Linked DNA regions of Drosophila melanogaster. The protein of the gene in region 2 interacts with the protein of the main gene of each other region in a pairwise test. Each region holds a gene or a part of one and is shown on either strand. Other genes may lie near its edges. The genes, in order: B9d1, Hn and Fer1HCH.

What was found.
Region 1: the proteins of Hn (region 2) and B9d1 interact in a two-hybrid assay, tested with the Drosophila melanogaster proteins (one large-scale study listed by BioGRID).
Region 3: the proteins of Hn (region 2) and Fer1HCH interact in a two-hybrid assay, tested with the Drosophila melanogaster proteins (one large-scale study listed by BioGRID).

What each region holds. Positions count from the first base shown.
Region 1 is NT_033777.3:15,479,752-15,483,404, reverse strand, and holds B9d1 (B9d1), read right to left. Parts: upstream 1,500-3,653; 5' UTR 1,399-1,499; coding exon 1,011-1,398; intron 893-1,010; coding exon 555-892; 3' UTR 501-554; downstream 1-500. UniProt on the Drosophila melanogaster protein: Probable component of the tectonic-like complex (also named MKS complex), a complex localized at the transition zone of primary cilia. Required for ciliary structure and function.
Region 2 is NT_037436.4:7,758,386-7,762,139, reverse strand, and holds the start of Hn (henna), read right to left. Parts: upstream 1,688-3,754; 5' UTR 1,514-1,687; coding exon 1,484-1,513; intron 1,157-1,483; exon of another isoform or gene 863-1,156; intron 774-862; exon of another isoform or gene 593-773; coding exon of another isoform or gene 578-592; coding exon 1-577. Other genes in the region: CG32373 (uncharacterized protein), read right to left, coding at 3,090-3,131, 3,197-3,420, 3,519-3,754.
Region 3 is NT_033777.3:30,385,902-30,389,655, reverse strand, and holds the start of Fer1HCH (ferritin 1 heavy chain homologue), read left to right. Parts: upstream 1-2,036; 5' UTR 2,037-2,125; coding exon 2,126-2,192; intron 2,193-2,246; exon of another isoform or gene 2,247-2,544; coding exon 2,545-2,553; exon of another isoform or gene 2,554-2,772; intron 2,773-2,827; coding exon 2,828-2,938; intron 2,939-3,059; coding exon 3,060-3,337; coding exon of another isoform or gene 3,338-3,358; exon of another isoform or gene 3,359-3,399; coding exon 3,400-3,672; 3' UTR 3,673-3,754. Other genes in the region: Fer2LCH (ferritin 2 light chain homologue), read right to left, coding at 214-240, 328-445. UniProt on the Drosophila melanogaster protein: Stores iron in a soluble, non-toxic, readily available form. Important for iron homeostasis. Iron is taken up in the ferrous form and deposited as ferric hydroxides after oxidation.

The DNA.
Region 1 (3,653 bases), on a different chromosome or scaffold from region 2:
ACCAGTACGGATCCACCATGTGCATAATCTCGGCGGGCACACTCTCCGCCAGGCTGAGATTGCGCCCATCGCGCATATAGGCGAAGCTCGGGGGATGCAGGCTGGCCATTTCGAATGGCTGGTACTGGTGGCGCTTCGGTGGTGGCTTCGTCTAAACTTGGATGGCTGGCTACTCTGCTGCGGCGACTACTCGCTGTCCATAGCAGGACGGCTGACTCTCGGGACGCGAACTCGGCGGCAATGCCTGGGGCGGACCATGGTCGTCTGGTCTTTATATGGCCACTTGTGTACAACGCGTCTTAGACTAATTGCCCTAATCCAATTAGCCGGCACTTGGCCAATCCAAAGCTAACCGTTCGAATTGGGCTTTCGATTGCCGCTCGTTTGCTGCGTTGGATTAGCAGCAGTCGCGTCATTTTGAAATCGTCTTAGCCGCCACAACGGACAAGGTCAAGTTTGAGGTACCACCCACCCGGCAATTAGATTAAGACAAACGCTTTCCTGCTTCCTCAAGTTCACGTTTTACTAACACACTCTGGACTCGACTCTCTCTCTCAGGAGTGCCAATGGTAGCCCAGCTTGCGGGCGCCCCTCATCACGGAGGACAGCTGAAACTGTAGGCTGCCGTACGACTCCATAGAGAGTCCCTTGCACTTCAGGTTGTCCAGCAGCACTTTGGGGTCCTTCAGCTCCGGCTCGCGGCGCAGCAGCCAACTGGTGATGTCCGCCATCATGTTGGGGCACTTGGGCATCAGGATGGGCGCCTGCAGCTGCTCCGTCTGATCCGCTGGACGACGACTGCCGAAAACGGGCAGGTGGATGTGAGCGTAACCGAGTAGTGTCTCCCTGCCCAGGCCACTGCGTCCGAACACGGTCACCAGGATCTGTGGCCCTGGAAACCAAAAGAATTGGAGATCTTGTTGGTGTAACTTCAATCTGATTCGAAAAATTGTTAATAGCTGAGCTGAGAAAGAATATAGTAAACTAATCGATTCTGTACTATTACTCACAGCCATATGGACTGGTGCTCTTGTAGGTCACCTCGATGGGCATATTGAAGACAATCGGTTCGTTGAAATGGCCCCTTCTATTGGTGGCCAGCTGGGTGAGTCCGTGCTGGGGTCCGGAGGACAGCTGCCAGTCGGGACCAGCGACCATTTCGTAGCGCAGGAAGACGAACTCCTTGTCGGGACCCAGGGGAAAGGTGGCCGAGACTATTTGGCCCACGATGCTCAAACTAAAGTAGCTGGCAGTGGCTTTCGCGTCCATTGCATTGGGAACACTTTCTTTGGCACTCCGGGACTTCTTTTTGGCCTTCTTGGCCTTTTGTTTATGTTTTTCATGCGGCGGAGTGGTTTCCTCGTTGCCCGGGAGACTGATGCCTTCGCTGGCGCTCATGGTGGTGGTTGCCGACTCACAACGGGGTGTGTTTCCAGCCAAGTCGAGTGCCAACTATTTTCCACCTGCCAAAACTGACTTGGCCACAAACTAAGTGTTGAAAGTGGTCAAAAAATATGACAGCTTGGACCGAAAAAAAAGGGATATTTTCTATAACAATCGATATATTGGGATTATATAGCAAAAATTGTTCGATTTATTTCATACGATTTTTGTTAAATGCATTATTGTATTAATTTGATGTTTATGACTTGCAAGATCGGAAACGAAATGATTGTAAACAATTTCCTCTATATTTTGATGATTCTTAAGGTTGAGTAATAGGAATTCCCCAGAGACACTCAACAAACGGATGGTTTATGGCCTGTCTGCATTTAATAATAGTTTAGATAAAACTGCGATGATAATTTCTATTTTTCTCTGATTCAATGAGGCAACATGTTCATAAATCACATTAATGATTCCTTTCGTTATGTATTGTAACCAGTTGGTGGATTTCCTTTGTTTCGTTAGTTAAGTATTCGCACACTTTGTCATGTCGACAGCAATGTAATTTAATTCCAACCGACATCGCTGGTTACATGGACATCGAGTGGTTCTGGCTTCCAATTTGCATACTCCGATCCAGATCGAGATCGAAGAAACATATCTGCACACCGCTGGTAAGTGACAATTACAAGATAATAACTCATTCTGCAGACCGGCAGTCTGGGCGGGGCAAAAGGTCAATTTCAATTTCGATTCGACTCACAACTCTTGGTCGGTCGTGTAATTAATGCTGTAATGGCCATTTAGCAATTTATAGCTGCCAACGTGGCATGGTCGTAAATCATTGTAACAATTGCCGGCGCTACCGAAGTCTACAGGAAGTCGCGCCTTCGATCTTCGATCCCCCGGTGCCGCTCCCTATTAGCATGATGCATTATGCAATGGCCAGTGGACAAGTAGCCAAGTAGCCAACTGGCCAACAGCCAGGCAGTCAGTCAGTTAGTCAGTTAGTTAGTCAATTAGTCAGTCAGTCAGTTAATCAGTTAATCATGCTGGGCGTAAATAAAATGCGCCTCAAGTAATGTCAATGGTTCAAGGCGAACTCCCGGCTCACCTGGCATCTTCCACGAGCCACGCAGATGATCTTCGCACCCATCGGATTGGATCGTCGTCAGTGCAGCTGTGGAGCTGAGTGGTGGCACAGCTGGGACAGCCGATTGGTGTTGCAATCAGAGTCGGATCAAGTGCTTACACTGGAAGAAAATTCCACTTACCTGTTCATTACCTATTCATTAATAAAACGATGGCTGTGGTAAATATTATTTGCAACTGTATTTTATTCAAAAACTAACTGACAAATTATTAAAGTATTTTCAGTAGTTAAAAAAAAAAAAAACAAGTATTGTTTATAAAAATAAATTAAGATTAAATGCATTACTTATCGGAAATTACCCATTAATAAGCACTGTGTACCCAAAGTTGGCGATGATGTTTCATTACATTCCAACTATGTATATAGTTTTCCCGCTTAATCTGGCATTTCGAGCAGTGTAATGTGTGTGGCATGTGCAGTTCCATGAAATAAGCTCCTTTTGATTGCCAAAACAAAAGCTTAGGCTTAGTCAGTCAGCCCAAAAGCAAAGGCAAAAGCAAAAGTAAAGCCATCAGAAATTGGACATCAGGCCATATGCCAAATCCAAAGCTAAAAGCCGCTCAATTCGCTGCTGCAATCGGAGATAGTGCTGATGCAGCGCAGAATCGACATAATTTGGGCTCGAGTTTAGCTATATGGCATTATACTCGTAGCATTATGCTGTGCGATTTTGATTTCGACAATTTTTCCACTTCTAATACTGAAGAATATGCCGCCTGCAGGCAAACTGACACACACAGACACACAGCCATTGTGAATTCAATTACGTTTTTGGAATCAATGAACGGAGGCATTATTCAGAAGAAATATTCATTTTGGAGTCTTATATAAAACCGATTCATATCCATTGAATGACCGGCCAGCCTGGTGTAAATGAAAATTTTCAATTGAAGTCTTTTGCAAGTGCATTAGCCACTCGAGGAGTTGCATTACTGAAAGTCGAGCGTCGTGTGTTGAACCGATTTGCGAAATGCGAATTTCTGGATCGGTTCAGGGACGGATTAGGGTCGAAATCATCTACAGATGGCGGATATCTTTCCCCGAACTAACAGACTAGCAGACAGTTCAAAGAGTCCGGATGGATAGCGGGAAATTGAGTTATGCATGCGTATGT
Region 2 (3,754 bases):
GACAGGCATGTGTCTTATACAGCTTCGTAAGATTCCTGAAGATAATGCCCCAGGTCTCGATCTCCTCCTTGGTGTAATCCACATGGGGCAAGGGCTCGCCATGCTTGTAGTTGTAGGCAATGTCGGCGAAGTACTTGCGACGCTTGCGGTATTCCGGATCGGTAAAACCAGGATGATCGGCATCCAGCTCCGATCCGTAGCTCAGAATCTGATTGGCGAAACGATCCAGATCGCGTATACGCCGCGGGAACCAGGGCACAGCCGTGGCATTATCCTTGTAGTCACGCGAAATGATGTTAAAGTAGCTACACTGCTCCTTCACATCCTCGATGGCTTTTCCCAAGGCTCCCGATTTTCCATCGGCCTCCACGAAAAACTCATAACCGGGAACACGCAGCGAGGAACGCGACTCAATATGCACCAGGTTTATGTCATGCTTCTTGAAGATGGCCAAAATGTTGGCCAAAGCTCCGCTGGACAACGACGAATCCTTGGGCGAAAACAGAAGACAGGTGTTCCTGGCCTCCTTAATATCTACACCCTCGACTATGTAAGCCGAATCCTCTACGCGCGTTGGCTGTAATAAATTCATTGGTAATTTAAAAAATATTTACGGTTTATATTTTTGCTGTTTGGGAAAACAGCCATTGCATCATTGGAAATTTGACAGATTGACTCCGAGTGACCTGGGCTAAACGAGCAGTCAAGCCAAACTATTTAATATAGATAATATTTCTCTGCTCTTATGACTATGCAATGTCTATCAGCAAATCTCCTATTACAGAGGCTACCAGGGCCCAAATCGCATAATCATTTAACCGAAGCCTTATATGAGCCAACGAACTGTAATTGTAGTACTTGCCTCAGATCTGCATCATTGAGATTGTTTGTGTTTTGGCTTGAACCCCCATATTGAAGGTTTAGGTCCGACCGCAATGGCAATCAGCGCATATTGCCAAGGACTCGGCCTAGAACTTGGTGTGCTGTATCTGTGGGAAGGTCTCCCAAGTAGTATACTTTGCAAGATCTTGAGCCATAACAAGGTCCTCTAACAGGGCTGAATTATTTGTTCTTAATGTATTTATATGACATCTTATTAAGCTGTACTGTTTCTACTTCCAATATATGCGCCTGACGTCTTAATTCAGGTTTTACTCTACAAAACACATTAATAAACTACTTGTTTAGGAGCGAAAATAAAATAAACCACTAGGAGTCCCAGACACCACTCTGTTTTCCTTTGTCTAGAACTATTGCGAACTAACCCAATTCCATGACAGGTTTTATACATTATAGATCCGCATTCTCATTTCAATCAAAATAATAAAATTATATTTTATTTGAATTTTTTTTCCTCAAAGGTTGGACAAGTTCATGCTGAGAACGCAGAATAATAAACTTGTTATTGTTTTTAATTTATTAGCTATTTTACGGATCACTTTCTATACCGGGTGCACAGAGGACTCTCGCCGAAGCAACAAACCTTATCAAAGGAGACCTGCCGCTGGTACATTTTCACAAGATTCTCGGGTTTCTCCACTGATAAGTACAATAAAACCGATGGCGAACGATCCGTTCAGCAAACGAATTAAAACTGATTTAATTTCTCTATGAATCGCGCGCTTAAATAGACTTTTCGATAGGCCCCATAGCTGAGCCCAAACGAAAATCAATCCGAACTGAAACCAGTAAAAAATACAAATAATATCGCGGGCAATCGGGCGAGTAAATGATCTTGGAACGGCATCCACATGCGATCCAATCGCGGCTATGGCTCTGCGGCTGCGGGGTTATCAGTGCCCAGTGTCTCGATGGGCCTAAAATCCCATTTCAGTATTCAGCTTCATTACAGAAGCCGTCGTCTAGCCGATCAAATCTAAATGTTGAGGCTTAAATACAGTCTAGCATCCATAATTCAAAATACGAAAAAAAGGAACGCCTGATTCGAAAAACCAGTTTTGAATGTTATAGATCTGTGTTCCTGGAACTTAGGCACAGTTTTCTATAGATAAAATATAATATCGTAAACAATGTTTTCTTACTTTTGAAGAACCCAAAGCACTTCCTTTTCGCATGTTCCACTGTATTTTGGAAATATTATCAGCTAAGACTCGCCCCTCTGCTGGGGTCCAAATTAACAAAACATTATTTCAGCTAGTTTTAGATTTGCTTTGTTTTGCAAAAAATCATACTGAATAATCTGGGCTGTGTTTTTCTAATGACAGGTTCTAACCAAACGAGTTCAACGGCATTTCAGGGCAATTATTTCAGTAGTGAATAGCTCCAAGTGGGCCTGGCACGCGCTACTCTTGGTTTTTTTTTTATACTTGCGGTCCACATCAGATTGACTGGAATCAATTAGTCCAATCGTTACACTCACCCGAACTTTTTGTCGGATTTTGTCTTTTAAATGGTAATACGCTTTCCTTAAGTCTAGGTGACTTACATTGTGGTACCCACTTGTAATTGTTAATCTATGAGTAGGTTTATTATTGTTTCAAGTTCAGAGTTCACTCGGTATAAGCACGTCAACAGATAACCCCGAAATTTAAGCTGATGTAATATTACAAGAGCTTACAAAAGCTAAAGCAATAAACCATATCTATACCATGTCTTTACTTCCGACATAAAATGTTTCAATATTCTTATTTCTATTTTTAGATATGTTTTTTGTCAATCCTAAAAAGCATTGATTTAGGCCCAAAAGTAGGCAAAGAAATCAGGTCATTTTTGAAGACAATGAGGGTATTAAGGCTAATATTTTATGTAGACCGAATTGATAATCCACTTTCAATACACTCCAAAATCAAGACGAAATGGGAGTGATCTATGATGACGATGCTTAAACATCCGAAAAACAAGCAAGCCCTATCTGTACCGTTTGCTTACAAGATTTGTCTTCAGCGGAGAATATTAAACATCTGTTCTACATGTCAAAAGTTTTACATCTTCATTGATTTTTACACACCAAGACTGATAGTCAATACAAAATCAATGCACGCTTCAGTGCAGGAGTGTAGGTTAAATTTATTTTTATTTTTTTTGTCGTTTTATATGTTAAAATAAATTAACGGCTTTGTGGAATCCGGTTAAGGCGGAGCGATCTTCACGCAGCCCTCGTCCTGTTTCACCTAAAAAATTAAATGCGTAAAGGTAAAATGTAAATATGTGTTATAGTTAGGTTACTCAGTCTTACTGATTGCTGAAACACATATTGTGGCACATTGTCCTGCCATCTTCTTTGGATCCAGCCCCATGGTGCCGCACAAATGAGCTGTGTGTCCATTCTGGGCAAATAGCCTCGATCACATAACAGTTCACAAATCGCGAGTGATTTGGATGGTTCATTATTGCAGCTTGCAGGATAGAAACGTCCATTGCGAGGGGGTGTCAAAACTGGACAACTCAATGCGAGGGATTCTAGAAATAGGATGCAATAGCAAATACATAATGTGTCTTATAAAATCCTATAGCACTAACTTAAATTGTTTGTACATTGTACATTGATGTGTACTTACCCACGCACTTGGCTTCTGGACTAGACCAAAGTCCGGTGTGTCCACAAACCGCAAATTGTGAGCCCTGCATGATATAACCCGCGTTGCAGGTAATATTGCAACGAGTGTAGTTGAAGCCATTTTGGAGATACTTATCGCAAGAAGCCTTTCCGTTGGCTGGTCCCTTAAACAAAGGGCATATATCCTTTCTTGGTGCTTCCTGACTGACAGGCGCGTCTTTCGATGGCGGTAATTTG
Region 3 (3,754 bases), on a different chromosome or scaffold from region 2:
TAGGAGAGCAGAAGCACATCCAATAGTAATGACATAGTCTTAATGGTTCCTAACTAGGTAGTGCCATACTAAACAAGGCAATAGAATTTTGAATTTGTATTTGTATCTTTAAAATAATAATGTAAGGGCCGTAATGCAGTAAGAATTGGAAAGTGTTCATTTTCACGAAATCTGAGATAGTGCAGAAATACATCCAATCTATATTTCACTTACTCTTGCCTGTGAAAAAGCCCGTGAGCGCTTGTTTTTATTATTATGTTTTACAAAGATACAAAAAGCAACAACACAGATTAGCCACTCTCTCTTAGAGGCGCTCTCTTTACTCACCCGAAAAGGCTGACGTAGAGCATGCGGTGATTACAGTGTTCTGGCAATATTCATCATCCTTGGCCAAGGCAAGAGAGCCGAGGCACGCAAAGAGAGCGAGTGCAACGAAAAATTTCATGTCGACGGTTTACTGTAAATTAAAATCAAATTCGAGAGGCGAAAACAAAGGAAATTAGTTTCACAACAATTGACAATTGGAAAACAGACACTTTTGTTTTCATTTTGGGCGAGTTTTTTCGTTTTGCGTCGTAGCGTTTTCTTGAATTTTCTGTGCTCTTTTTTAACAACAAAACCACCACCAATGGAATGTTTTGGTTTTTAAATTTATATGGTGGTCGGTTTAAAAACACAGTTTCCAGAATATTATTTTCTAGTTTTCGTAACTAAACACTCACAAAGTAGTTAGTTAGTAATATTAAAACTCACTTCCAGTGCCTGTGCTTTTATTAATAATTCAATCGCTTTATGTGCTTCTTGGTGAAACTCTGAAAATCAACTGCTGTTTATAGCGTCGCGTACGTCTCTTTCTATGCGATCGATATGGCTGTGTGTGTGTGGTTTTGGAGAGCGTGCATGGGCATGTGTTGTTTTGCGCTCAGTGCGGGATTTCGGTGTCATTCAAATATGGCCGCTGCCAGTGCTGTTGTTGCTGCGCCTGCTGGAAGGTGACTCACGACAGGGTTGTCAGCGTGTGCAAAATATGGACGCTGCACTTTGGATTTCAAGTGGTTTCCTGAGAGTTTTATCAGCTAACGATGAGAATTGAAAATAAACTGCAGATAAACCATCTACCTCCTAAGATAATGTTTTAAGTTTTGATATATTGGTAATTCACAGCAGCATCGAGCTTGAGACTGTTGCTATTTACAATACATATTATTGCTGGGTTCGGAGATAATGTAGGGTTTCCCCAATCAACAAACAAATTATGTAATTTGTAAGTTTTCCCACCATGTATCCTTCTTATCAAGTGTCATTCTTGGAGCTCTGCAAGCGACACGTAAAAAAGAGCCGTCGCCATATTAGCAGTTATCAAAGTGGGTGACTGATCCCCCCTTCGAACGTGCAAATCAACTTGACAAAATGTGAATTAAATTGTCAGCAATAATTAAACCGCCTGGCAACACATGACGTGGTGCTCTCCCACGGCCAAAACAAAAACAAAGAACAGCTGATGCGCATCTCAAAAGAGCGGCCATATTGCATTTGATAAATTTACTTCTTAGTAAGTGGGGATTATCTGACTAGGAAACCCGACTTTATACAAAGTATACCCATATTGAGGACGTGTGTATCACATTGAGTGCGGCAATTATCGGGAATATTCAATTATCAGCCATTTAAACGGTTAACAAAGAACGGGCGACATGTTGAAAAGATAACAGTGCACACTCTCCCATCACTCACACACACACGAAGAAAAACCGAGAGCGCGCGCGCTTAAAAGTGTTTTGTGCGCCGTTCGGAGCGACAGTTCGCTTTCGAGTTCGCTAAAACACAACGTAGAAAGGCCTTAGCTCCACTGAAAAATCAGATTAAAGCTGTCAGCAGAAGGTACTGGAAAGCATTCGAGAAGTCGAAAATAATCCCAATCAAGCCCATCAAATTGAAGCAGGCGACGCCTTCTGCGCCAGTGTGTGTAAAGGCAGCTAGATTTTCAATTTCAACGCCTATTTAACATTGTAGCTCAACTCGAGTCGCCTCATTCTCATTTGTGCATTTCAAGCAAATCAAACTAAAGTGAAAAACAAATTTTTGTTCTGTGATTTTGTGTAAAGACTACGTTCGACGATCAAAGATGGTGAAACTAATTGCTAGCCTGCTCCTGTTGGCCGTGGTGGCCCAGGCCTATGGAGATTTCAAGTGTAAGTACTAATGTTACGTTTTATTCATCAGAATTTCAAACAAAACAAAGGCAGGTCATCGGAAAAAAAACAATAAATTTCGACGCAATACGCAAAGAGAAGCAAAACATTTGTAATGCGTTGAAAAGAGCATGCGCCGTTTCTCTTTGACGCTCTTTCACTCTCTTTCGTCAATGAAGTGAAGTTACCAAACCAGTTGATTTAAAAGTTATTGATACTTCCGTTGCGCTTTGGGGAAATGATAACCAGTTTTTATACATAAATTTTCATAATTAAATAATGCGAATTTCGCTTTCATTTCCATGAATATTGCGGTATAAATAAGCTTGACTTTTTGTTGTTACATTTCAAGGCGCTCTTTGCACACGGCTTTTACGGGCCGAGTGAGCTAGCATGGTGAACCATGCTTTTTGCACACGGCACTACACGAAAACAAATGCCGTTACTATGGCGGCGAGAGCTGCGCACGTTACCAATGCAGTTACAAAAACAGAGAGAGAGAGTGGGAGAGTAGGCCATTACAGTTTTGCACACGGTTTTTGTGCCCTAGAATAGCGGCATTTCAAGCGCAATTTCAAAGGTTTATGCAATTACGCCCTCTTAAATGCAATAACCAACAACGCCCTACCCCTCAGCCAAGCAAGAAAGCAAGAGTTTCGTGAGAGAGCTTCAAAGGGAGCGAGAAGAGCATCAACTAAAAGAAAAACAAAACCTAAGCCATGAAGGTCAAGACCAAGAGTGCAAAGGTTTTTAAAATATTAAAATTTACCTAAGTTCTGATTACAAAAATAAATTTTTTAAAGCTGAATACTAGCCATATATTGTTATCGTGGTCCCCCGACTTAACCCAACCTTATCCCATTGCAGGCTCCCTGGCTGTTCCTGAGATTACCAAGGACTGGGTGGACATGAAGGATGCCTGCATAAAGGGCATGCGCAATCAGATCCAGGAGGAGATCAACGCCTCCTACCAGTACTTGGCCATGGGCGCCTACTTCTCCCGCGACACCGTCAACCGCCCTGGATTCGCCGAGCACTTCTTCAAGGCCGCCAAGGAGGAACGTGAGCACGGATCCAAGCTGGTGGAGTACCTGTCCATGCGCGGTCAACTGACCGAGGGAGTCAGCGATCTGATCAATGTGCCGGTAAGTCGACGACTCGCCTAGAAAACCCAAAAGCCCAGCTAATCCTGGCGAATCCCCCACAGACTGTGGCCAAGCAGGAGTGGACCGATGGTGCCGCCGCCCTGTCCGACGCCCTCGACCTGGAGATCAAGGTGACCAAGTCCATCCGCAAGCTGATCCAGACCTGCGAGAACAAGCCCTACAACCACTACCACCTGGTGGACTACCTGACCGGTGTCTATCTGGAGGAGCAGCTCCACGGACAGCGCGAGCTCGCCGGCAAGCTGACCACTCTCAAGAAGATGATGGACACCAACGGCGAACTGGGCGAGTTCCTGTTCGACAAGACCCTGTAAGGAGGTGGAGATAGAGAAGGCGCAGCGCCCAGTCACGCATCAAAATTATCAGCCAGTCGAGTTATCTGTTATCTGTCAGCCC